Linked DNA regions of Rattus norvegicus. The protein of the gene in region 1 purifies or fractionates together with the protein of each later gene. This does not show direct contact. Links are inferred from orthologs where the notes say so. Each region holds a gene or a part of one and is shown on either strand. Other genes may lie near its edges.

Region 1 (11,718 bases):
TTGGAAACAGGGAGTTATGAGGAAGCGGCACTGAGCTCTGGCTGCAAGGCTGTGGACCCTCTGTAAGCTACATCATCGGCCTTTGCAGGGTGCTGCAGCTGCAGCTTGAGAATGTGCTTCTCTGGCTGCAGCCCAAGCTCTGGGCATGAGTAACAGAGGAAGTGCCCAGAAAGCCTGGGCATTTGGACAACCCAACAATAGCTAGGCCCTGTGGCCATTTTGGCTAGGGCGGCGCTCAGGGATACCAGAAGGGTTTTCAACTCTCCATTTCTGAAACTCACTTTAAGGCCTCCATGTGACTAAAAGGAACATGGGTTCCCAGATGACACTCCTCTCCCCAACTCAAGTGGCAAGTGTAAGAAATAAACTGATGTAAGCCACTGATAATTTTGTTTGTTACCACTGCACATTTTCACCTATCCTGACACATTCTTATACTGGAAATGAGGTATCTTTAAAAAAAGTTGTATCATTCTTTCTATGTATGTGCGTGTGTGAATGTATGTGTATGTATGTATGTATGTGTGCATGTATGTATGTGTATGTATATTGTGTGTATATATGTGTCACGTATGTATGTGTATGTGTAAATGTGTGTATATATGTGTGTATGTGTATGTATGTGTGTATGTATGTGTGTGTATCTATGTATGTATGTATGTGTATATGTATGTGTGTGTATATATGTGTGTATGTGTATGTATGTGTATGTATGTGTGCGTATGTATGTGTGTGTATCTATGTATGTATGTGTATATGTATGTGTGTATCTGTGTGTGTATCTGTGTATGTATGTGTGTGTATGTATATATGTGTGCCTATGTATGTATATATATGTATGTGTGTATACATGTATGGATATGTGTATATATGTATGTGTGTATACATGTATGGATATGTGTATATATGTATGTGTGTATGTGTGTGTGTGTGTATGTGTGTGTGTCTGTGTGTGGGCAGGTGCATAGGAGAGCAGTGTCCACAGATGACGGAGGACATCAGATCCCCTGAACATGAGTCCTCTGTGAGAGCAGTAAGCCCTCTAACTGCTGAGTTATCTGTTCAGCTCTGAGCGGTCTTATCACTCCATTGTGGACACTTCCCAGAGAGTAAGTAAGTCTCACAGTCCTTCCAAGACGATCAAAAACTGAATCAGGACAGGTATGAAGGATTCTGAAGATAGAGGTTCTGTCTACTCCCACAGAGGACTATAATAGGTTGAGTAGCAGCCGCTGGTCCTCCATGTTCCTCCTGCTGCTGGTCTACTCGGATGTTCTGGGACCCTAATCTCAGAGCAGAATGAAGCCCAGTTGTGGGGTTGGTGCAGGGCGGGGCAGCCAGGAGGTGCTAATTGAAGAGAAGGTGGTGACAGCCCCTCCAATGGCAAGGAGAGGAGTGGGATACAGCTCTCCTTGGATCAGAATGACCCCTTTGGGTAACGTACGGCTGGAGATGCTCCACACAGTGTGTGGAGATGACCACAAAGGGCAGTCTGCTGTGTCTGTCAGCCTGTCGGTCAGGTCACGGGCTGATATTGATCTATGGAGGGCACTGTACCCATATTGTGGCTGGGGCTGCTGGTACACAGCCAGCCCTAGGTCACTGAAAGTTCTAGACTGTAGTGGGGAAGGAACTCAGGAGCTCTCCTCTGTCCTAGGTCCACTGCGTGTCCTCGGGTACATAGCCTCCTCTCTCTGCTTTTTGTTACCTGATAATAAAGCAGACCTGACACTGTCATCCATGAGGTTCTTAGATGGAGGGATGCATGGGAATGAAGGAGCATTTGGACACGGCGTCTTATCTTGGACTGGGAATTCGTGGGTCCTAATAGATGGGGAGGGAACCTTGCAACGTGTAAAGGGTAAGAGGACAATGTTTCTTAGCCTAGGCTAATGACATTGAATTTATGATTCTCCAGTCTCTACCTTCCTATATAGGGGTACAAATCCCCACTTCCAGAATTTATCTGGTACTAAGGATCAAATCTAGGGTATCACAATGCTAAGCTAGCATTCTAGTAACTGAGGTACATTCCCCTGCCCTGTCTTCTCCTCACCGCCAACCCTTACAACCCTAGTCTTCTTCATTCCACCTAGAGTTTGCTTCTCCAGCTGATGATAGCTGCCCATGCCAAATCCAGCCCCAACAGCATCCTGTCATACCAGGAGGCTGTGCCAGAGTAGAAGGTAGGCAGCAAGGTCGACATGCTCTAGGGCTCTAATTCACTGTCTTCTCTAGCTTCATACACAGGCTGGTCTACCTCACAACTGGGAGGGAAGCAGATGGCAGATGCCATCCAACAAATCAACAGGCATCAGCCCTTCTCCTGCACCCTGCTCATCCATGCACCCTCAGCCATGGCCCACCTTACCTTCATGAGGTCTCGATGGTGCTCTAACACACTGCAGGTTGTCTGCCAGGTGTCCTGGTAGCACTCCCATGGGTCCACCCTGCCATGACAAGAGAAGATGTCCTCAGTTTCCATTCATGCACTCTTTCCACCTTGCTTCCTCCCAAGGCTCAGGGAACTTAGCAAGCCTGGTCATGCTGTGTCCTTAGATCTCAAAGCAGGTTAAACCAGGCTGTGGAATATGTTCCTGAGCCTCAGTTTCCCTCTCTGTAAAATGAGAGGAATCTTGCATAGGCAGGTAAGGAAGAGAGTAGTACGAGTCTCCCTGAGTTTAACTTGAGCTTAACCTGAGCTCAGCAGTCTTTCTAGTGTGAGGGCTAGGTGAATTTTATATTCATAGTGCTTAGTAAGATGTCTCCTATAGAAGAAGGAAATCTTCAGACTCTTACAGGATTGTGAGAAGGATTAAGGGAGCCAGGGGCTGGTAAGGACTGAAGCTTGCCTCGCCAGGCTGCAAGCCCTGGAGAAGAACCTCATCAGTGGTATATTGCCTTGAGGCTGGAAGTAAGGCATGACAAGCTAAACTGGATGGTGCAGGCCCTCAGGACAGCTAACTTCTCAAGAACAGGAGGCTGGGAAGTGAGCAGGGATCCTGCCTCAGACTGATGCCTCCTCACATGGCCTCAATTGCCAACTTAATGAGCTGCTAAACGGAGATATTTCAGAACATTCTCTTAGCGGTTGAGCATCCCTGTCCACCCCCTGCCATGAGCAGGCACCTCAGGTTTCCTGAGTTGAGATCTTACTAAGTAAAAATAAAGGGGTCTGTCTTGCCTGGCTCCTCCTGCCCTGTCCCTGTGTACACAAGTATAGGAGGTGAGCAAGCCCCTCCCACCTGCCCTGGGTAAGGGCTAGCTAAAAACTTCCCTCCCAAGGGCTCACCCTCAGACCCCTTTGTCACCTCAGTGAGACAGGTGGTAGTGCTCAGTAAGCATTCACGGGATCAACCAAGGAATGATTCCAGAATTTTCTAAGAATGTCAAAGCAGGAACAGCCTTCTAGCCAGTTTCCCCCTCCCCCTGGATTTATTTCCCACAGGGAATTAAACATTCATTTACAGCATTAAGAGGTATGGTTTCTATTCCTGACTTGATTACAGATAGGCTGTCCTCCAGCGTTTAATCTGTCTTTTTGGTTTTTTTTTTAAGATTTATTTTTATTTATCTATGTGAGATCCCTGAGTGCTGGAATTACAGGCAGTAAGTAAGCTGCCCAAGGTGAGTGCTGAGAACTGAACTCATGACCTCTGGAAGAACAGCGAGTGCTCTGAGCCAACTTTCCAGTCCTCAACCGGAAAGAAAGTCCCTCAAGGGTCAGGCTTCTCTACAAATCATGTGCAGGTCCACACAGACCTTAATTATTACTGCGGCTTCCGTTCACTGCCTGCAGTTCTGCCTGACCATCCCTCCTGGGTTAACTGCATCCCTCACGCACCCTGAGGTCTGTACCCCTCTCCTCATGGAAACTTCTAGGTGCTGCTTATTTTTCCAGCATAGGAAATTAAAGAGCAAATGATGTGCCATTATTTTTTTAAACACCATCTTCTCATGCAAATTATAACGGTAGGAACTTGGGGGACATAATTAGCATAATTAGTGGAAGCTTGCTGTAATTACACTGCTGGCTCAGAGCATGGTGAATGCTGCCATCTTAGTGGTTCTGTGAGTCTAATGGGGGGCAGGGTGGAGAATCAAGAAAAGAGCTTCAGGTTCCAGTGGTAGGGATGCCCTAGAGAGCCCTGCTCATAGGCCCCACACCTTGTCTAGGGGTCAGTGTGGACCCCGGAGGGACCCTGAATTCAGAAATGGGTGGTACTCAAGGCCACCCACTTTCTCTGACAAGGAGTGATGGGTGAGTCAATGGAATTTAGTGGGAATTTGGTGAATGAGAGGCATTTGGGGTTTGGGGACCAGGCTCCTCCCCCAGTGATGTTTTGGGAAACTCTAAGAGCCACATCCCAGGAGTCACAGACAGAAACTCCTTAGGCTAACTCTTAAATTTTGTGAGCCTGATTGTTTGGTTCAAAAATAAAGTTAACAGTTGGGCTTCCAGTGGAGATCTACCTAATTAGAGTCAGTACAGGGCTAATACCTCTCCTATTCTCTCACCCTTATAGGTCCCAAATTCCTTTTCCTTGCCGGTGAGCCCAGGGCCACCTGGCTCTTACATCATCATTCCAGCCCTACCTGATCCAGTCAGAATTTTGGACAGCCAGCTGACACATGATGAGACGGTGCCGACTTGACACAAGACCCTAGGAAGCAACAAAACCATGAGTAGGAGGTGTCCTCAGCCTTCCACAGTGCCGAGGAACACCAGCCCAAACCACCCCATTACAAAGTGTGGCCATGTTTGATGGTGAGAGCAAATGAGGAATGTACCCCTGATACACAGACACTGGGTGATGCTGTGTGTGTGTGTGCGTGTGTGTGTGTGTGTGTGTGTGTGTGTGTGTGTGTGAAAGGTATGTGGTGTATCCCACTGCATCTGGGTCCGAACCAGCCAATGCCCACTTGGCCATTCTGCATAGGTTTGACCTAGGTTAAACCTAGTCTGGTGATTACAGTAACTGTGGGAGAAACAGGAATGGCTGGGAGAGTTCCCACATAAGAGGCATTGGGATGCTTTTTTTCCAAAATAAAAATCTTGGAAAATATTTTTCCAATGCAGCTCAACTTCTAAACTGCTGCCAGTCTGGAACCCAGCACAGTTGCACTGAGCAGGCTCACTCCTCTTTGTGAGCAGCTGGCTGGCTATGGTGGGCAGCTGGCCCTCTGGTTGTAGCCAGATACCCACGTCTGACAGTGGTCCTGGGAGGGAAACCAAATGCTGTTAGTTAGGCATTTAGCATTTCCAGGAATTTCCTCAGAGAGGACAGTAGGGCAGTTTTATCCAGGGGAGCTATCAGGTGAGGAAGAAGAGAGGGCAAAGGAAGGGACCCACCTGTTTTCCATAGGAGTCGTGGACTGGAGAGACAATACCACCAATCACAATAAATCTTCCAGTCTTGTGCAGATAATCCCTGGCTCTTTCTAATTAAGAGAAGAAAACTGCACATTACAAGAGAGGAAAGGTGTGGATTAAAGGTGATAATTGAAATCAATCTGTTCGGCACTGAACCCGCCAAGGTTTGGTGCTTGCTATTTAAATAGAAGGTGTCAACCTCGAAGCAAATATTGGTGACTGAAAGGTTAGGGAGGTGGACCTTAGCCCCAGAAATGAAAGGATTGAGAATTCATGGGGCTTAACCCAGTGTCGGGGGTAGGGGTAGGGGGTCTGTGTTGGAGGAACCACGCAGCTGGAGGGGTTTAAAACAGTCACCTCATTAAGAGGTGTTCAAGCTTGGGATTAGAATTCACTCCTGTTGCCTGTTGTCTCTTGCAGAAATTCTGGAGAGGAACCATCCCCTAACAGAAAAGTGAAGTCTCCTTAGAATATGAAAGATGCTCTGATTGCCTCATCTAATTATCAAGAAGGAAGAAACAGGAAAACAAATTTAAAGGGCCCTGTACATAATCGTGGAGAATTAACAATCAGCCTGGTACTTAGCAAGATTACAGTTGCTTGAGAAAATGCCTGGCCAAACAAAAGCCTCCTTGAGAGCATCATTTGCTTTTCCAAATTGACCAGGCAAGGCCGGGTTCCCTTCCATGAGAAAAACTAATGAACTAGGGGAGCTTTAAGAGTCTAGTCCTGTTTTATTTCCAAGGGAGCCCATTGAACAAACTCTACTGTGTTGTTTATTTTCAATTCTTTCATTTTTTTTTTTTTTTGGTGTATGGGTTAATGTACTCTTGTGGAGGCCAAAATGGATTTCCTCATTGTCTTTCTGCCTTACTTTTACAAAAATATTTACTTTTTGATTGTGTGCATGCACACTCACACCCAAGTGTGTGTAGATGTCTGAGAAAGTCCAGACGAGGGCATCAGATCCCTTGGCGCTGGAGCAATAGGTGCTTGTGAGCCACATGTAGATGTTGGGAAGTGAACGCAGGTGCCGCTCTGGGGGTACAGTGCTCATTAAATCTCCAAGCCAACATTCTAGCCCCCTTTGCTTTATTTTTGAGACAACTTCTCTCCTGAACCTGGTGGTCATTAACTGTCCAAACTAGCCTGGCCAGTGAACCCCTCTGCTCCCCAAAGTACAGGGGTTACAGATCCTTGACATTATGCTTTTGTTGTTTTTTGTTTTGTTTTTTGACCCAGGAATTCTCTGCATACAGTCCTATCTGTTCTGCAACTCGCTTTGTAGACCAGGTGAAAGGAAAAAATTAAAAAAGTAAGCTTCAAAATCCACAGACTCAGGGCTAAACACTGTCCAGGCAGGACTAGCAGGCCATAAAGAATAAGAAAAGGAATGCAGGAACCAGCCCGAGTTACCAGGACTGATTCATAGAACACCTGGCAGGAAGACACCTCCCCCAGCTCACTCAGGGCCATGCTTTAACTAGGTGTCCTCCAGACCCTGATAAGCCCCTGACTTCTAGCACGTACTCTTTCTCTTTGTTCTCACTGCTATGTTTGAATGAGCCAATCGTGTGTAACCCCGCCAAAACGCCCTAGCTTTCCCTATATAAACCCCCAACTTTTAAGTTTCGGGATCGACTCCCCTGTCTCCTGCGTGAGATACATGTCGGCCCGAAGCTTCGTTATTATTAAACGGCCTCTTGCTTTTACATCAAGACCGGTCTCTCGTGTTTCCTGGGGCACGCCATTCCGAGACTAGAGCGAGGGTCTTTCACAGGCTGTCTTCGAACTCACAAAGTCCAACTGTCTCTACCCACTGAGAGCTTAGGTATGTGTCACCATGTGTGACTCTGCCATGGATTTTAATGAGAGCTCTGCTTGCATATATGTATGCATGTATGCACACCAAGTACGTGCCTGGTGCCCTCGGGCCAGAAGAGGGCTTCAGACCCCCTGGATCTGGTTGTTAGATGCCATTTGGGTGCTGGAACCTTTGCGGAAGTTGCCAATGCTCTTCACTTCTGAGACACCTCTTCATCCCCAAGCCTGCCTTTGTGAGTGAGTGCTAAGAATCAAAGTCAGGTCCTCCAGCCAGAGGCAAACACTTCACCAACTGAGCCATGCTGGCACCCTGAGGTGGGAACTCTGCGGTGGGAGAATCCCAGAGTGAAGGAGGAGTTGGGCAGCAAGACTGGTTGTAGATTTTACAATTAAGTTTTCATGACCTTGGTGGCTCTCTGTGTATTAAAAAATTATTCCTGCCACAGTTGCTTCTTTTATCCCTTCAATGTCAAAGCTTTTTGTAAAAAAAAAATGAATTCACTACTTTTTAATACCATTTTAGAAAAAAATTTGGAGTAAATGGAAATATTTCGCCTATAATTTAGCTCAGCTCCTTTTCCTTCTCTCCCACACAGGTTCCCCAGCGATGACCTTCCCTTGTGCAGAATGTTTGTGCCAGTTGATTAGCTATTGTGCTTGGTCTGCATTAAGATTAATCCTGTGCTCTAGAATTCCATGTGTTGATAAGTATGAGACACACATTTATCATGAAGCACCACACAGAGTGTTATTTCACTGCCTAAAGTCTATAGCTGTCAGAACCGGGACTGGGAAATAGGGAGAAACAGAGACTCGGGAGACTCCCACAGACTCGGGAGACTAGCATAGGAGTACAAATCTAGCCGTACAAAAACTTACATACAACTCTTCAGCCAATAAGAGTTGAGGTTACATAACCAAGGGGCAAAGGTAGGGGAGATTACATCCGATGTCCTGTTGGATCTAATTTGCTCTATAGGGAATTCTGTAGGGGAGAGAATGGATCGCCCGGAGGTGGGAGGAGGGGGATTTCTGTGAAGACAGGAAGTGGAAACTGCTACAGCCCTGGGCTCTGGTCCATTGTTCTGTCTCATCGGTTTGCGGGTTCTGCCAGGAGCCGCTTTAGATAAGGCTGTGTGCAGCTGGAGTGCAGCTGGATTAGGATTCCTCCCGCAGGCCCAGGAGCAGGCGCAGGAGCAGGAGGCATGGTGCTTAGCTCTCCATCCCACTTTTCCCTCCGCTAGGTCACTCCCACACGCCCCACATATAGTGCCACACCTATTCATCCCTTCTCACCCTGACCTCTGCCAACCACGCTGGGGTTTTTTTTGTTTTTTTTTTTCCTTTTTTTTTTTTTTTTTTCTTTTCTTTATTTCGGAGCTGGGGACTGAACCCAGGGCCTTGCGCTTGCTAGGCAAGTGCTCTACCACTGAGCTAAATCCCCAACCCATTTTGTTTGAAATTGCTTACTGCGAGGTAGTCAGAGTGATACACACCATCTAGTCTCTTCGGGTCCTTCCATTAAGCACTATGCATTTAAGGTCTTCATGTCTTACTGTGCCGGCTAGTTTTATGTCAACTTGACACAAGCGAAAGTCATCTGGAAGGAGGGAACCTCTATCAAGAGGATGTCTCCGTAAGATCAGACGGTAGGCAAGCCTGTAGGATGTAGGAGGTCCCAGCCCATTGTAGGTGGTGCCATCCCTGGGCTGGTGGTCTTGGATTCTATAGGAAAGCAAGCTGAGCAAGCCATGAGGAGCAGGCCAGTAAGCAGCATCCTCTATGGCCTCTGCATCAGCTCCTGCTTTCGTGTTCCTGCCTTGTTTGAGTTGTTGTCCTGACTTCCTTTGGTGTCGAACAGTAATATGGAAGTCTAAGCCCAACTGACCCTTTCCTCCTGGGTTGCTTTGGTCCAGGTGTTTCATCATTACGGTAGTAAACCAAATGAAGACACTTACCACGGTCAAATAGTTTATTTTTCTTCATTAATGAATAATATTCCATCATCTAGCTGATTCTCAGTTTGCTTGTCCATCTACCCACTGAGAAACATTGTCATTACTCCCAGCTTTTTTGGTGATTATAGACAAAGCTATAATCCTGTGGGTGTTGGTACAGTGTGCCTTCAGGTAAATATGTAGGAATCAGCTCATTGGATCATATGGGGAGAATATATTTAGTGCTGGAAGCAACTGTCTTTTTCTTCCGTGCTGGCTGTACCGTTTTGCATCCCTACCACCGGCAGTCAATAAGAACAATGGCTGTTCCACATTCCTGCTAACTTTTGATTCTATTGGGTTTGCACATTTAGTCATTCTAATGGGTACATCACTCTGGTATCCATTTACTTAAGGTTGATTTTACTTTTTAAAGAACGATTTATTTGGGGCTGGGGATTTAGCTCAGTGGTAGAGCGCTTACCTAGGAAGCGCAAGGCCCTGGGTTCGGTCCCCAGCTCCGAAAAAAAGAACCAAAAAAAAAAAAAAAAAAAAAAAAGAAGAACGATTTATTTTTCATTTCATGTGCATTGGTGTTTTGCCTGTATGTGGATCTGTGTGAGGGTGCTGGATCCCAAGCAACTGAAGTTATAGTTGTGAGCTGCCATGTGGGTGCTGGGAATTGAACCCAGGTGTTCTGGAAGAATAGCCAGTGCTTCCCTAATTACTGTGACAAAAACTTTGTCATGACTAAAACTAAGTTATAAAAGAGTTTGTTTTGGGGGTTGGGGATTTGGCTTAGAGGTAGAGCGCTTGCCTAGCAACCGCAAGGCCCTGGGTTCGGTCCCCAGCTCCGAAAAAAAAAAAAAAAAAAGAAAGAAAAGAAAAAAGAAAAAAAGAAAAGAGTTTGTTTTGGCTTTTAATCTCAGAAGGCCACAGTCCTCCATGGTAGAGATGGCATGGCAGCCGGTATGCATGGTAGCGAGGACAGGGAGCTTAGAGCTCACATGTCCACACAGAACCATAGTGAACTGGAAGTGGGGCAAACTCGCAACGCCAGCCCCCAGTGACTGCTTTCTCCAGCAGCGCTCCCTGTCCTACAGATTCCTTAGCCCCTCACAAAACAGTGCCATCAAACAGGGACCGAGTGTTCAAATACCCGGCACTATTGGGAACATTTCTCATTTAAACTACTACAGTGTGTGTGTGTGTGTGTGTGTGTGTGTGTGTGTGTGTGTGTGTGTGTGTGTTGTGTGCACAGACATGTGTCTGTGCATGTGTAGATGTGCACATGGGTACAGTTGCCCCCAAAGAAGGGCATCAGGTCCCCCTAATCTGGAGTTACAGGTATTTGAGAGTGGCCTGTCATGGATGCTAGGAACTGAACTCTTGTCCTCAGCAAGAACAACCAGCTTTTTTCTTTTCTTTTCTTTTCTTTTCTTTTCTTTTCGTTTCTTCTCTTTTTTTTTAACCATTATGCCTACTCTCCTCCCCTAACTTTGCTTTCTAAACAAACACTATCACTTCATCTGCTAGGTTTTATTTTGATATTTGAATGAGTGTTTCACAGCCCTCCTTCCATCTCTGGGCCCTTCGCTCCTGCCTTTCTCAGAATCAGATCCATCTGGCCCTTGGCTGTCACTGACCATCAGCTGCCGTGAGCCACTCTTCCTTACTCTGCCTTTTATCCAACGAGAGTTTGTTTACTCTTTTCTTATCCATGTATTTCATTAGGAGCCCAGTTCTTTCTCATGCCCAACATGTCTGGTCCAACCAGCACCCTCTTGCCCCCTGGACTCGCCTTCGGAACACTTCACTATGCGTCCAGTTCAAAGCTGGGAATCCTCTCAGCTCCTCCCCTGTTTTATGGATTTCTCAAAGTGCACAGCCAGAGTGGGCATGAGGTCAACATATCGTATGAGAGCCAAAATGGACCAAAGATGATTCACACTGAGCTGCATGTAGGCCAAACAATGTGGACATTGCCTTCAAATCATTATGTGGGTCCCAGTGTGCTATAAGATGACACCCATGCCAAAGACACCCAGTGGGGCGACTTGTCTCTTGAGCAATAAGTACGCAGTAAATGCTCTCTCACACAGAAAGCTCACGAAGCTTCCAGGGCCCACTTTCACTCCTATAGAGTGTCCTTCTCCAAGAGACCTTGAGCTGCCCACACTGATCGTCAGACCGCATTCATAGTCTCCAGGGAGCACCTACTATAGTCTTAGTAGTTGTCACTCTTTTCTCTCAGCCAAGATCAAGGACTCCTTCCCTTTGCTTTCAAGTCCCGTACCTTGAAGAGAAACGGTTTCCAAAAGGAATATCCCAACATTAACTGAGTCGAAGCAGCTCGACCAGAAGAGTTACTGAGGTCTTGCAGCTCGGCCCAATTTAGGAATTGCTTACGGAGCGTAAAGTCCACAATGGGTGCTGGAGGGATGTGAGGATGGGGATGACTCTAACCACTCTCTTCATTGGTTATGTGTGCATGGGGCTTGTGTGTCTGGAAAATAGTTTCACACAGTGTTTCCAACCTGTGGGTCTTAGAAGCTTTCTACTCCCTCTTCTGAAATGATCCCA
Region 2 (11,589 bases), on another chromosome or scaffold:
TCTCTGTGGGCACTGAAGGAACAAGGTATATACAGGAAGAACACCCATACACAAAATAAATAAATCTGAAGGGAAAAAAGGGAGGAGGGGGAGGTTACAGACCTAAAGAGCAACAGCACGCAGGAGAGCCTTAGAGAGCCAGGGACCCAGCTCCCAGGTCGAGGTCATTTTTCCACAGCCAGCACGTCACTGTCTCACTGCTGCTGTGCTGCACAGTAAGTCCTTGTTTCGGGCATTCTGTCTCCACAAGGAAAATGGACAAACGAAGCACTTTTTAATTTTTCCTTATCTGTTTCTGTTTATATTTTTTTTTTTAATTATGTGTTGGTGTGGTGTGGTGTGACATGGGCATCATAAACGTGAATAGGGGAAGGAAATCCCCACCAACAAGTATGATTCTAAATCAAAAGAATGACAAGAAGAGGATGAAGTTCTCAAGATAATGTTAAACTACGATTTCCTCGTCACCTATTCCTAGTCTTACAAGTTCCAGGTGCTTCTTCTCTAATTTTTCCCTTTGCCCCAGTGATATTAACAACCTCTTCCTCAATCTCCGATTTCGCTGAACTGATTCGACCACGTTCATTTACAGTGACTCCCTCCCTCTGCTCTCCAGAAGTCTCTTCTAAAACATTACTTCCACTGAATCTCATGGCAGCTAATACCTTTGGATAGCACCACAGCAACTGCTAGCCCTGCTTGGCTTCAAAGCCTTCCAGAGCAGGCTGCTGCCCTTTGTTCCCACCTCCTCGTGCCATATCTGCGTCCTCTTCTTAGTTTTCTACCGCCACCTCCATGAAGGTGTTCTTTGCCAGGACCACCCAATCCCCATCATTCCTCTCTCCTGAACTCCATTCACTAACGTCACACTTAGGATCTTGTTTTCTACCATACCTCTAAACACATGACTTTAGTAAAAAGTATTTTGTAAAAACCACCACTAACCAACCAACCAACAAACCAAACAAACAAACAGAAATGTACTGTAATCTAAACTGGTCATGCTTTGCACTGTAGAGTCTATAGGAAGGGACGGAGAAGAGCATGCTGGGTAACATTAAGGAAGGTAGATGGTGACAAATGAGCTGCAGAGGCGGGAGACAGAATCAGTCTGTTTACTAAGATAGCCTTAACAGACCTCACGACTCCTTCTCGGTTCTTTTTTTTTTTTTTCCCCCCGGAGCTGGGGACCGAACCCAGGGCCTTGGGCTTCCTAGGTAAGCACTCTACCACTGAGCTAAATCCCCAGCCCCATCACGACTCCTTCTCGAAGGACATATACAGATCCTGATTAGATAAGCCATAAGTTAAACTATATATTTCACATTTATGAGACAATACTGCAACTTCTGAATTAAGGAATTACTGTTAGTTTCATTTTGGAGATGACAGTAGCATTGTGATTATATTATGGATCTTTGTTCTTAGAACAAATACTGAAAAATTCAAATGAAATGAAAAATACCCAATTAATAAATTTTAAAGGCCAAGTATACCTACCTTTAATCCCAGCACTGAGGCAGAGGAAGGTGGATCTTTTGAGTTTGAGGTTAGCCTGGTTTATGGAGCAAGTTCCAGGACAGCCAGGGCTACACAGAGAAACAAACTCTATTTTTAAAAACAATACAAAAAATTAAAGTCATAGTTTCTGTCTCTTTCTGAAAAACGGAGGTTTCCTATTTCAACAGCATGAGGACCTAGCCCAGGGCTTCTGAGTGCACACTTTCCCCAGCTCTTAGCTCACCCTTCTTCTGCAGAGGGCCTGCCCTTTCTCAACAAGCTGTCTCTAATTCCACTTCTAAAAACAAAAATGAAAAAGGTCTAGCTCAGAATGTAAGTCTGAAAGTTAGGGTATACTTTGATACAAAATATTTGGGATGACTAAATACTACTTGGAAATAAGTAAAGCGTGAGTTATAAAAAAGAACATTTCTGGAATGTTCAATGGCACAGTGAGTGCTAAGCATGCCCTAGTTTGAGCAGCATGGAAGAAGGAGATAAGACAGAAGGACGGGGGCTGGAGAGGTGGCTCAGTGGTTAAGGACACTGACAGCTTCTTCCAAAGGTCCTGAGTTCAAATCCCAGCAACCACATGGTGGCTCACAACCATCTAGGATTTGATGCCCTCAGAGCAACAATGTACTCATACATAACATAAATAAACAAGTCTTTTAAAAGGTAGGGATAGAAAGGAAGGAGAACAAAATGAACCAACCAAACACTTCCCAGTGTTGTACTCTCCTCGCATTTGCTCAGCTGCCTTGGGAGTTCTGCTGGATGCACCTTCCCTCAACAAGCTGTTGGTCTACTGTCACCATGCAGAGTCGTTCTCTGTGGCACTCCTCCAGTTGTGTCTTTCTCTCCTCTGTATCCCATGGCCTGGTCTTTTAAAGCCCAGCTTTACTTCACTGTTCTTCTGTTCAGACTTGTATGGTTTTCCAGGTGCAGAATAAAGCCCAAACAATACATAACAGATTGTTTCCAAAGGCCCTCTTCCACGATACAGCCAGTCCCCAGTCACCTTTACAGCAGTATTTCCCTTCATTCAGTCCAACTAGAAATTCCTATCTTTAGCCTAGACTGCTTCTAACCCTTGGCTATCAGGAGCTGCCTATCTGAAATCTGACGAATATCTCAAAGACACTATGAATTCTGACCTTCCACAACTGAACTTGCTGTCATTTTCCTCCAAACTCTTGCTCAAGTGATACTTAGATTATATAAGCCAAATATCTAGGAGTCATCCTTAGCTCTTCCTTCTTCCTCGTCTTTATTTCAAAACTACTGCCACATTCTACAGATTCTTTAAAAAAACAACAACAAAAAAAACAAAACTGTTTGATCCCGCAAATTTCAGAGAGTACATAGATAATCCCAGTATCTTAATATTCTCTGAGTGAAAAAAATCAATTTTAATTTATGATGACCTAAAATCCTAGTGCCACATCTAAAGGCAATAGGAGGAACAGTCATCAAATTCTGTTACTCTATTTCCTAAGTTTGTCCATTTTCCCCCATCTCCTTCACTACCCTCTTTCTAGTGGATCTACCACATTTCTAAAATCGTATTCCAACCTGTTCTCCATAGTGGAGTCAAAACTAACCCACAAACTGATCATGGCACCACTCCCCACGGCCATTGTTCTTGCTTACAACTAGAAAGGCTTCAGTGTAGTGTGTCCCACTCCTTTTATCTTACTCAAACCAGCGTCACCTGCACTCTCAGAGCAACCACTGGCAGTCACCTTGTTTCTCATACAAGCAGAGTCCCTCCTCAGAGGCTCTTCTTGCTCCTCTTGGCCTCTATACTTATCTTTTAGGTGTCACTAAGCTTGTGCATCATGTCTTATAAGAAAGTCTCTTCCTGACCTCCGTACCTAGTTAAATCCTCCATTACTGACACTCAGAACAGATGTGACTCTCACTCATAATACTTACCAGATGCAGTTTCACAACGGCAGTGATCAGATTAATAGCTATTCCCCCAGGCTGGGGGATGCAGCTAGCACATATTCAATCCCCAGTACTGAAAAAAGAAACGCAGGCAGGGAGGCAGGCAGGAAGGCAGGAAGGCTTGTAGGCAGGCGCAGGCACATGAACACGCACACGCACTCTACTACACTGTAATCCCCACAAGGCAAAGTGTGGGTAAGAGTTTGCATTTTTGCTTTCCTTGTTTTTCTGCTCAGAGTTTTTCATAAAATTTAACATCATAAACCTCATCTTAAAGTTCAGCTTTGTGGCATCTTAATCTCAAACTTTTTCTCCACTCAGCTCCTAAGTTCTTCCTCCCCACGGACTGCTAGTATTCCTATACTACACTAGGTAGCAATGTGTGCCACATGTTAGTTATTTCCCTGTCTAAGGACTTCTACACTGAGTCCTCCTGAATTAACACTGCATTTTCACAATTGTCACCTACAAGAACCTGGGTAAGACAAGCCCACCTTGGAGCCGCAGTGCACGCAGCAGAAAGATAATGAAGATTAGAAACTTAAAACTATAATCTCTCCGGAAAAACCAAAATCAGTATCAATTTAGTCTGCAGTTAAGAGTGCCCCGGGGACTGAAGAGATGGCTCAGTGGTTAAGAGCACTGACTGCTCTTCCAAAGGTTCTGAGTTCAATTCCCAGCAACCACATGGTGGTTCACAACCATCTGTAATGAGATCTGATGCACACTTCTAGTGTGCACATACTAAATTAATAAAACCTTTTTATTTATTTAGAGAGCACATACATAAAATAAATAAAATCTTTTAAAATTAAAAAAAAGAGTGCCCCCTGATTTTCCTGTGTGTGTGTGTGTGTTGCAGAGGGAGGTCACATGTCTGTAACTCCAGCTACAGCAGTAGACATTCTAGATTCTGTGGGCACTGGTATTCTTCACATATGCATGAGTATGTGTACTTGTGTCAAAGAAAAAATAAGTACAAAAATATGATGGGGACGGTGGCAGGAGTGGTGGCACTTTTAGACTCAGAACTTTGAAGACAAGAGGCAGGTGGATTTCTGTTAACTTCCAAGCCAGCCGAGGCTGAATACTGAAATCCTGTCTCAGATAAATAAAGAAAGAAAAAAAGAAAGAAAGGAAGAAAGAAAAAAAGAAAGACAGACAGACAGACAGACAATTTATTTGGTAGTTGACATAATTGACAGCAGTGTTCCTTCTCTCATCAGACGAAAACTCGTCTTAATATATAAGAATATATCAGTACTGTGGCCCATCCTATAATCCCAGCACTCTCAAGGAACAGACAGAAAGATGGCAAGTTGGAGACCACCCGGACACACAGTGAGACCCTGTCTCCAAAAACAGACATAAAATATGTGTATACACATATTTATAATAATACATGTATATTAAAAGAAAGAGTGCACCTATTTCACATTAAAAATTACTTAGACACTCACTGGCAATATAGAATTAAAAAAGAAAAGATATATTTACTACATTCCTGGTCAGACGTCTATCATCTCTCGTATATGCTCCTTGTTTTGGACAGTCTCTCATTTTATGTAGCCCTGGCTGTCCTGGAACTCACTTGGCAGACCAAGCTGGCCCTAACTCACAGAGGTGCACCTGCCTCTGCCTCTGCCTCTGGAGTGCTGGGATTAAAGGTGTGCGCCACCACATCCAGCTTCATATGCTTTTGATGACTGCTATCCTGAAGAGCTACTATCTACCTACATGAACCTTAGTCCAAGGCCTTTTGTTTGTATGCTGGAGAATACTTGGTCCTGCCACGACCTGTTTGTTAGCATTTTAATTTTGTTATGAAAGCACAAGAATCAAGAACGACAACAACAAAAGCCCAGCAAAACAGGAATAAACATATTACATGACAAAAGAGACATCACCCCAGTAGAACTAAGAAAAGTTATCAATAACAGCAGGACAAGGCAGTTTGATGAGTTATACCGCACCAATGAGAGGAAGTAATATTAAAGTCTCTTTCTTACAAGTTAGTTAGCAGGATGCCTACCCTGATCATCACTTGGAAGCGTTAAATATTGTGGCCCTAAGAGAACATGGGTGAAAATAATGAAAACGTGCTTATTAATCAGAGCCAAGAAAGGGGATGGTGAACGCAAAAGCCCCAGCAACTAAACCCATTTTAAAGCGACCTCGAATGCATTAGTGCCATTCTACTTGGAGGCCAGGGAAAATATATGATCAAGGGTATCGGCTGGTCTTTAAGAGCAAAAACTGTTGAAAGTAGAGCTGAGGAAAATGAATGATGGGAAACCACCTAGTATTTTTAAAAGTGAGGTGGATTACGAAGCACAACTTCAATCCAAAGAAAAGATCGTTATGGAAAGGAGGGGTGGTACTGACTGGCTTAAGCCGTAGAAAGACGGGATGGTGAGATGAAACCTCTAACTCAAGCTTTCAAGGTAAACCCCAAGAACACCGGGCAGGAGAGGAACTGGGCTTCGACATGGCCCGGGATTCCCTCACCTTGGCCTTGTAGCTGGGCAGGTTGCAGAGGATGTCCGTGCGCAGAGCCTCTTCTGCTAGGCTGCGGGCGCACAGGCTCCGCCACACCTCGCTGTTCTCATCGCCGTGGAGGCAGCGGTACCAGTGCTTGCACACCAGGGCGCAGCTCCGCAGCTCGGACAGCTCCAGGTAGGAGAACACCAACTCCAGCACCCGGCTGGGCAACCGGCCGCCGATCCCGGAGGACGCGGATCCCGCGCCGGCGCTGGCGCCGGCGCCGCCGCTGGCGCCGGCGCCGCCGCTAGCGCCGCCCGAGGCTGCCCCAGCCCCCGGGCCCGGCGCCGCCATCGCCTCACCAGCCGGCCCGAGGGCCGCCGCTGCCGTCGCTGCGCCCCGTCTCGGCGCGGGAGGCCAAGCCTCGCCTAGAGACCGGAGCAGCTCGCTCACCGCCCCTTTCAGCGACAGCCGCTCGCGCCTCCACCGCTCCCGCCCCTGCCCGGGGGCGTCCGCTGCGCGCCCCGCCTCACTGAGGGCAGATGGCGCGGGCCACTCGGGTCCCCGCCCCTCGTAGCCGCTCAGCGCGGGCGCCGGAACCACCCGCCTCGCCCTGCCTGCCCGCGACGCGCCCCGGGATCCGCCATGCGGGTTGAGGGCAAGAAGCAAGGGCGCACGCCCAGCTCGGCCGCCGCGCCTCTCAGCCCGGAAGTGACTGTTCGGTGGAGGCGCCTCGCTCCCTAAGCTTGATGGGATTGGATGCTGCGCCTGAGGTCATCACTACGCGCCACCGGGAACTGGAAGCCCAGGTATGAGGCTGTTGGCTAGTGGGATTCTGATCTGTTCTCAAGTGCGTTTTTCTGTTTTTCCTCTAATGGCCTTGAGTCGGCTTTCCTTGGCCTCTCTTCCTACGGAGTTTCCCGTTTCATTTGCTTTCTGCTCATTCTCCAACTTTGTTTACGACAAAGTTTGCTAGCCAGTTCTTAGATCCTTCATCTTCAGTTCGCTTGGATCCATTAACTTTACCTTTGGGCAGTTGGAGACCTCTTGTCGTGGTCAGGTTAGATCCATTTTACTTTATTTTTTACCTTGAGAAATTGACATCGTCTTTTCCTGGCTAGGACAGTAGGGGACTCAACAGAACATCTATACAGTATCCATTCTAAAAGTAAGGTGGCTAAATCTGAGCAACCGTCGTAAATACGCAGGTTTTTATTATATTTGATATTAAACAAGTTTGGGTAATTTCAAAGGGTCATTTGAATACCAAGTGTCACAGTCTTTTGGACAAAATATAGTGAATTCGGTTCATCTCATAGTAAAAAGATTAAGGAAATATGTGTAGTTTTTTGTTTTTTGTTTTGTAATTTGTAATCCCAACAGTGGGAGGAAAAGAACCTAGCATTATTTGAACTTCAGTTCAAGGGGAGCCAAGCCTTCCAGCTTCACGAATGACCGAGGTGTACGCATACACACGCCATACACATAAAACAAAAGAACTACAGTGTGAGCCAGGCATTGATGAGATCTTTTAATCTGACTTTTATAATTCTCAAGACTATGAAGTGATTATTGTAATAGGGCCCACAGGCTCAGTAGTCAAGTCCAGTATTGTGCAATTTTTTGTAGCAAGAAACCTTGCCTGAGATCCACCTATGTGCAATCCACTTCCTGATTTTTAGTAAAAACAAATGAACAACAACTGCTTCCCTACTGGGGTATAATTACATGCTTATGCCTTGCTAATCCCTTCCTCAAGGTGTCTTCCACCAAGTAACCCAAATTTTTGTCTATTGTGTCTAGGCTAATGTCACAGTCTTTGAGTTGTTTTGGTTGTCACTTAGTTTCTCCACATCAGGACTAACTTTAGTCCAAATCTATGAAGAAATGTTGACCCACACATTATAGTAATGGCCTCTCTCTTCATGGCTCCTGAATGTTGAACCAAATTTTGTCTGAATGACAATTGCTTTTCCTTTAAATTTTGTGGATCTGAAAAGAAAGTAAAGAACTACATACATAGAATGGTTAGATTGAAAGGCATGGGCAAAGCACCATAGTACTGAGAGTATAGACTCTAGTTACTTGGGGACCCTAGGTGAGACAGATTCAGACGGTCTTTCTTTCTCTCTCTCTTTCTCTCTCTCTCTCTCTCTCTCTCTCTCTCTCTCTCCCTCCCTCCCTCTCTCTCTCTTTCTTTATTTCTCTCTGTCATCTATCTATCTATTTCAGGCTTGTACAAATGGATAGTGGAAATTCATAAATAAAGGTATGACTGAAAAAACACTGATGGCAGAGATCATCCACTTATCAAATACTTTATCTTGTCTTAAGACGAATCTTTGAAGTATCCAATGGTATCATTCTGCTCTCTTTTGTTTTTTTTTTTGGGGGGGGGGTGGTGCTTGTTTTTTAAGACTGGATTTTTCTGTATAGCCCTAAATAATCTGGACCTTGATATGTAGACCAGACTAGCCTTGGATTCACAGCCGCCTTTGTGCTAGTATTAAAAGGCATGCCCCACTGCCCAGCTTCATTCTGTTGTGTCTTTACCCCAGTTGTTCATATGACTCTAGTGGCATGTCGTCACACAACTAGAGCCAGGATGGTTTCAAAGTGTAAGAAGATGGCCTTCATCACTCCCTTCTTGTTACAGGTCCTTCACCTGCTCTTCATGAACCTCCCCTCCCCACCTCCCCCAGGACTTTATCCATTCTACCTGCTCGGAACTGCCCCCTGTGGCATTTTACCCTTTTAAAAGATTCCTTTAACATGCCCTACTTTGCTCTTACGCATTCCCTCATCAAATTAGGAGTTGGAGGAAATGAATCTATTATCTAATTAAACTAATCATGGTAGGATATGAGTAATTCTGTGCTTTAGGTGACCTCACAGTGCTTAGGAACTCGATAGGTGAGGGAAGTAATTTTGGCATGGACACATTTCTACAAGGCTGTCTGCTTCAAGTGTACAAAGTCAACAACAGCAGCTTGCAAACACTTCATTTCTAAATTGTTTTGACTTAACATATATTTAAATAACTTTCCCCTACTCTGTCATAGCACTCTGTTTCACACACACACACACACACACACACACACACACACACACACACACACACACACCATTTTTTCCTTTGAGGGTCTCAGTATGTAGCCCACAGTGGCCCAGAACTCAATATCTTCCTGCCTCAGCCTCCTAAGTGCTAGGATTACAGGTGTGCATGTGTTTAACACATTTGATACCCGGTACCCTCAGAGGTCCAAAGAAAGCACTGGATCTCCTGGGACTGGAGTTATTTGTTGGTTGTGAACTGCCATGTGGGTACTGGGAACCAAGGTGATCCTTTCAAATAGCAGCTAGTAAAGTTCTCTTAAGCACTGAACCATCTCTGTGGCTCCAAATGAGTTTTTTTTTTTTCTTTTTTCTTTTTTTTTCGGAGCTGGGGACTGAACCCAGGGCCTTGTGCTTGCTAGGCAAGCGCTCTACCACTGAGCTAAATCCCCAACCCCCCAAATGAGTTTTTTGAGGCTTTCTGAACTCTTTTTTTTTTTTTAAATAGACTCACTGATAGTTGTTTGTTATTTTTCTGACTATGTAAGTGATCAATAAATATTCACGTGATTCATTTAGTGTATGGAAATGTAATACCTCCCTTCTCATGTGTAGACCTGTACTGTTCTTGGATCTTAAAAGATTGATGTAGTAAGACTTAGTACTAGGGCTGGAGAGATGGCTCAGTGGCTAAGAGCACTTACTGTTCTTCCAGAGGTCTTAAGTTAATTCCCACCAACCATCTGTAATGGAATCCGAGGCCCTCTTCTGATGTATTTGAAGATAGCTAGTCTACTCACATACATAAAATAAATAAAATCTTTTTTTAAAAGAAGACTTACTACTAGACCTTTATGGAAAAAATTATCAGAACTGTATGTGTCTGTAATAGTCCTTTTAACTATACAGCCTGCTCATTGCCTAACTTCTCATGTTTTCTGTAGGATAGAAGTTAGCCCAAAGTACCTTTAAAATAGAGTTAATCCCTTTAAAACAACAACAATAACAAACAAACAAAACCAAAAACAAGGATAAGTAAGATTAGGAGAAAACCTAATAGTTTATTCCTGCTAGTCGGCGTGTATTTGGGTTTCCTGTAGATGTGTACTAGAGAAGCAGTCTTATATTTAACTAGAGATTTGTAGATTTAGTCCTTAAATGTCTTTTGAGAGGAGAGGGCAAGGGTTGTTGAATTTTTAAGCAATCTTTAAAAACTGTTGAAATGTTGGTAATTATATTTGTCTCATAGTATCGAGTTCTTATACAAAATCTGATATAGGTTTTCTCCCTCTTCCCAGAATTTTGCAGGCCATCATGGCAGTCAAGTGGACTGGAGGACATTCTTCTTCAATCCTTTGCCTGAATGCAAGTAAAGACGGGCTGGTGGCTTCAGGAGGAGAAGGTGGAGACCTTGTGGCTTGGGGTGAAGATGGGACCCCTGTAGGACACATGCAGTTGGAAGGGGCAGATGATGTTACCAGCATCGTGTTTTCCGCTTCCTGCCCCACCAAGCTCTATGCCTCCCATGGAGAGTCCATCAGTGTACTAGATGTCAGGTCTCTCAAAGGGTGCCTGGACCACTTTCATGTGAATGAGGAAGAAATCAATTGTCTTTCATTAAATGAAACTGAAAGTCTGCTGGCTTCTGCTGATGACTCTGGGGCAATCAAAATCCTCGACTTGGAAAAGAAGAAAGTTACCAGATCCCTGAAGAGACATTCCAACATTTGTTCCTCTGTGGCTTTTCGACCTCAGAGGCCTCAGAGCCTGGTGTCATGCGGCTTGGATATGCAGGTGATGTTTATGCAAAGAGCACTTGGGTACTTTCCGAGCAGAATTTGCTAAGAAAATCAAGTATGTTCGGCTTGGTCTCCTTGGCAGCTATGGAAATTGAGCTTAGGACCTGTACATGCCACACATGTGCTCTCCCACTAACCTCTATCCCAGCCCTTGAGTCAAGTGTTGATCGGGTGTTTTCTACTCTAACACTTTTTTTTTTTTTTTTTTACTCTAACACTTCTTACTCAGTTGTGGATCGCAGCTTACTTCTCCTAGCTTGAGTGCTAGCCTGACACCATATTTTATTCATTAGCCTTTGGTCTTCCTTTGTCCATCCTTAAAGACATTCTAAGACCTTAGGATTCAAATATCCAGTTCTAAAACTTGCTTTAAACAAAGAAGTAGTTTTAGGTCAGCTTAACAAAAAAGGGGTGGGGGTGAGATGCTGAAGGCAGAGTTGTTCTACACATTCTCTAGAAACTTAAATAGTTTAAAAGGGGGGTGGGGGGGTTGCATGGTCTCTTTTTACTTAAAATTTGAGGTGATTGAAATGCGTGTGAGTGATCAGAAGCAAAACACTGTATGCAGTACTAGACTTTGGAAACAACATCACAAATTAGCCTGACTTCAGAGGAAAGGCATGGGGGTATAAAGCACACTGTATAGGGAAAGCTGGTGGGGTTTAACGTTCTGTTTTCACAGGAGCAGATCTTGGAGTAACATGAGAGTTCTTAGGTAGCTTGAACTGGTGAGCTGGCCTTCCTCCTGCAAGAGAAAAATCTCATCACTGGAATCGAGTGCTTAGGACTTTGGGTGCTTTGC

Evidence for each region.
Region 2: the proteins of Nmnat2 (region 1) and Fbxo45 purify together in Homo sapiens (co-immunoprecipitation; 3 studies listed by BioGRID and IntAct, with this or other methods). This does not show direct contact. The link is inferred for Rattus norvegicus from reciprocal best matches to the Homo sapiens genes NMNAT2 and FBXO45.

What each region holds. Positions count from the first base shown.
Region 1 is NC_086031.1:67,786,509-67,798,226, reverse strand, and holds the start of Nmnat2 (nicotinamide/nicotinic acid mononucleotide adenylyltransferase 2), read right to left. Parts: upstream 6,851-11,718; coding exon 6,778-6,850; intron 5,443-6,777; coding exon 5,354-5,442; intron 4,665-5,353; coding exon 4,597-4,664; intron 2,451-4,596; coding exon 2,372-2,450; intron 1-2,371.
Region 2 is NC_086029.1:82,051,190-82,062,778, reverse strand, and holds the start of Fbxo45 (F-box/SPRY domain-containing protein 1), read right to left. Parts: upstream 6,323-11,589; 5' UTR 6,289-6,322; coding exon 5,962-6,288; intron 2,976-5,961; exon of another isoform or gene 2,833-2,975; intron 1-2,832. Other genes in the region: Wdr53 (WD repeat-containing protein 53), read left to right, coding at 10,303-10,782. UniProt on the Homo sapiens protein: Component of E3 ubiquitin ligase complex consisting of FBXO45, MYCBP2 and SKP1. Functions in substrate recognition but also plays an important role in assembly of the complex.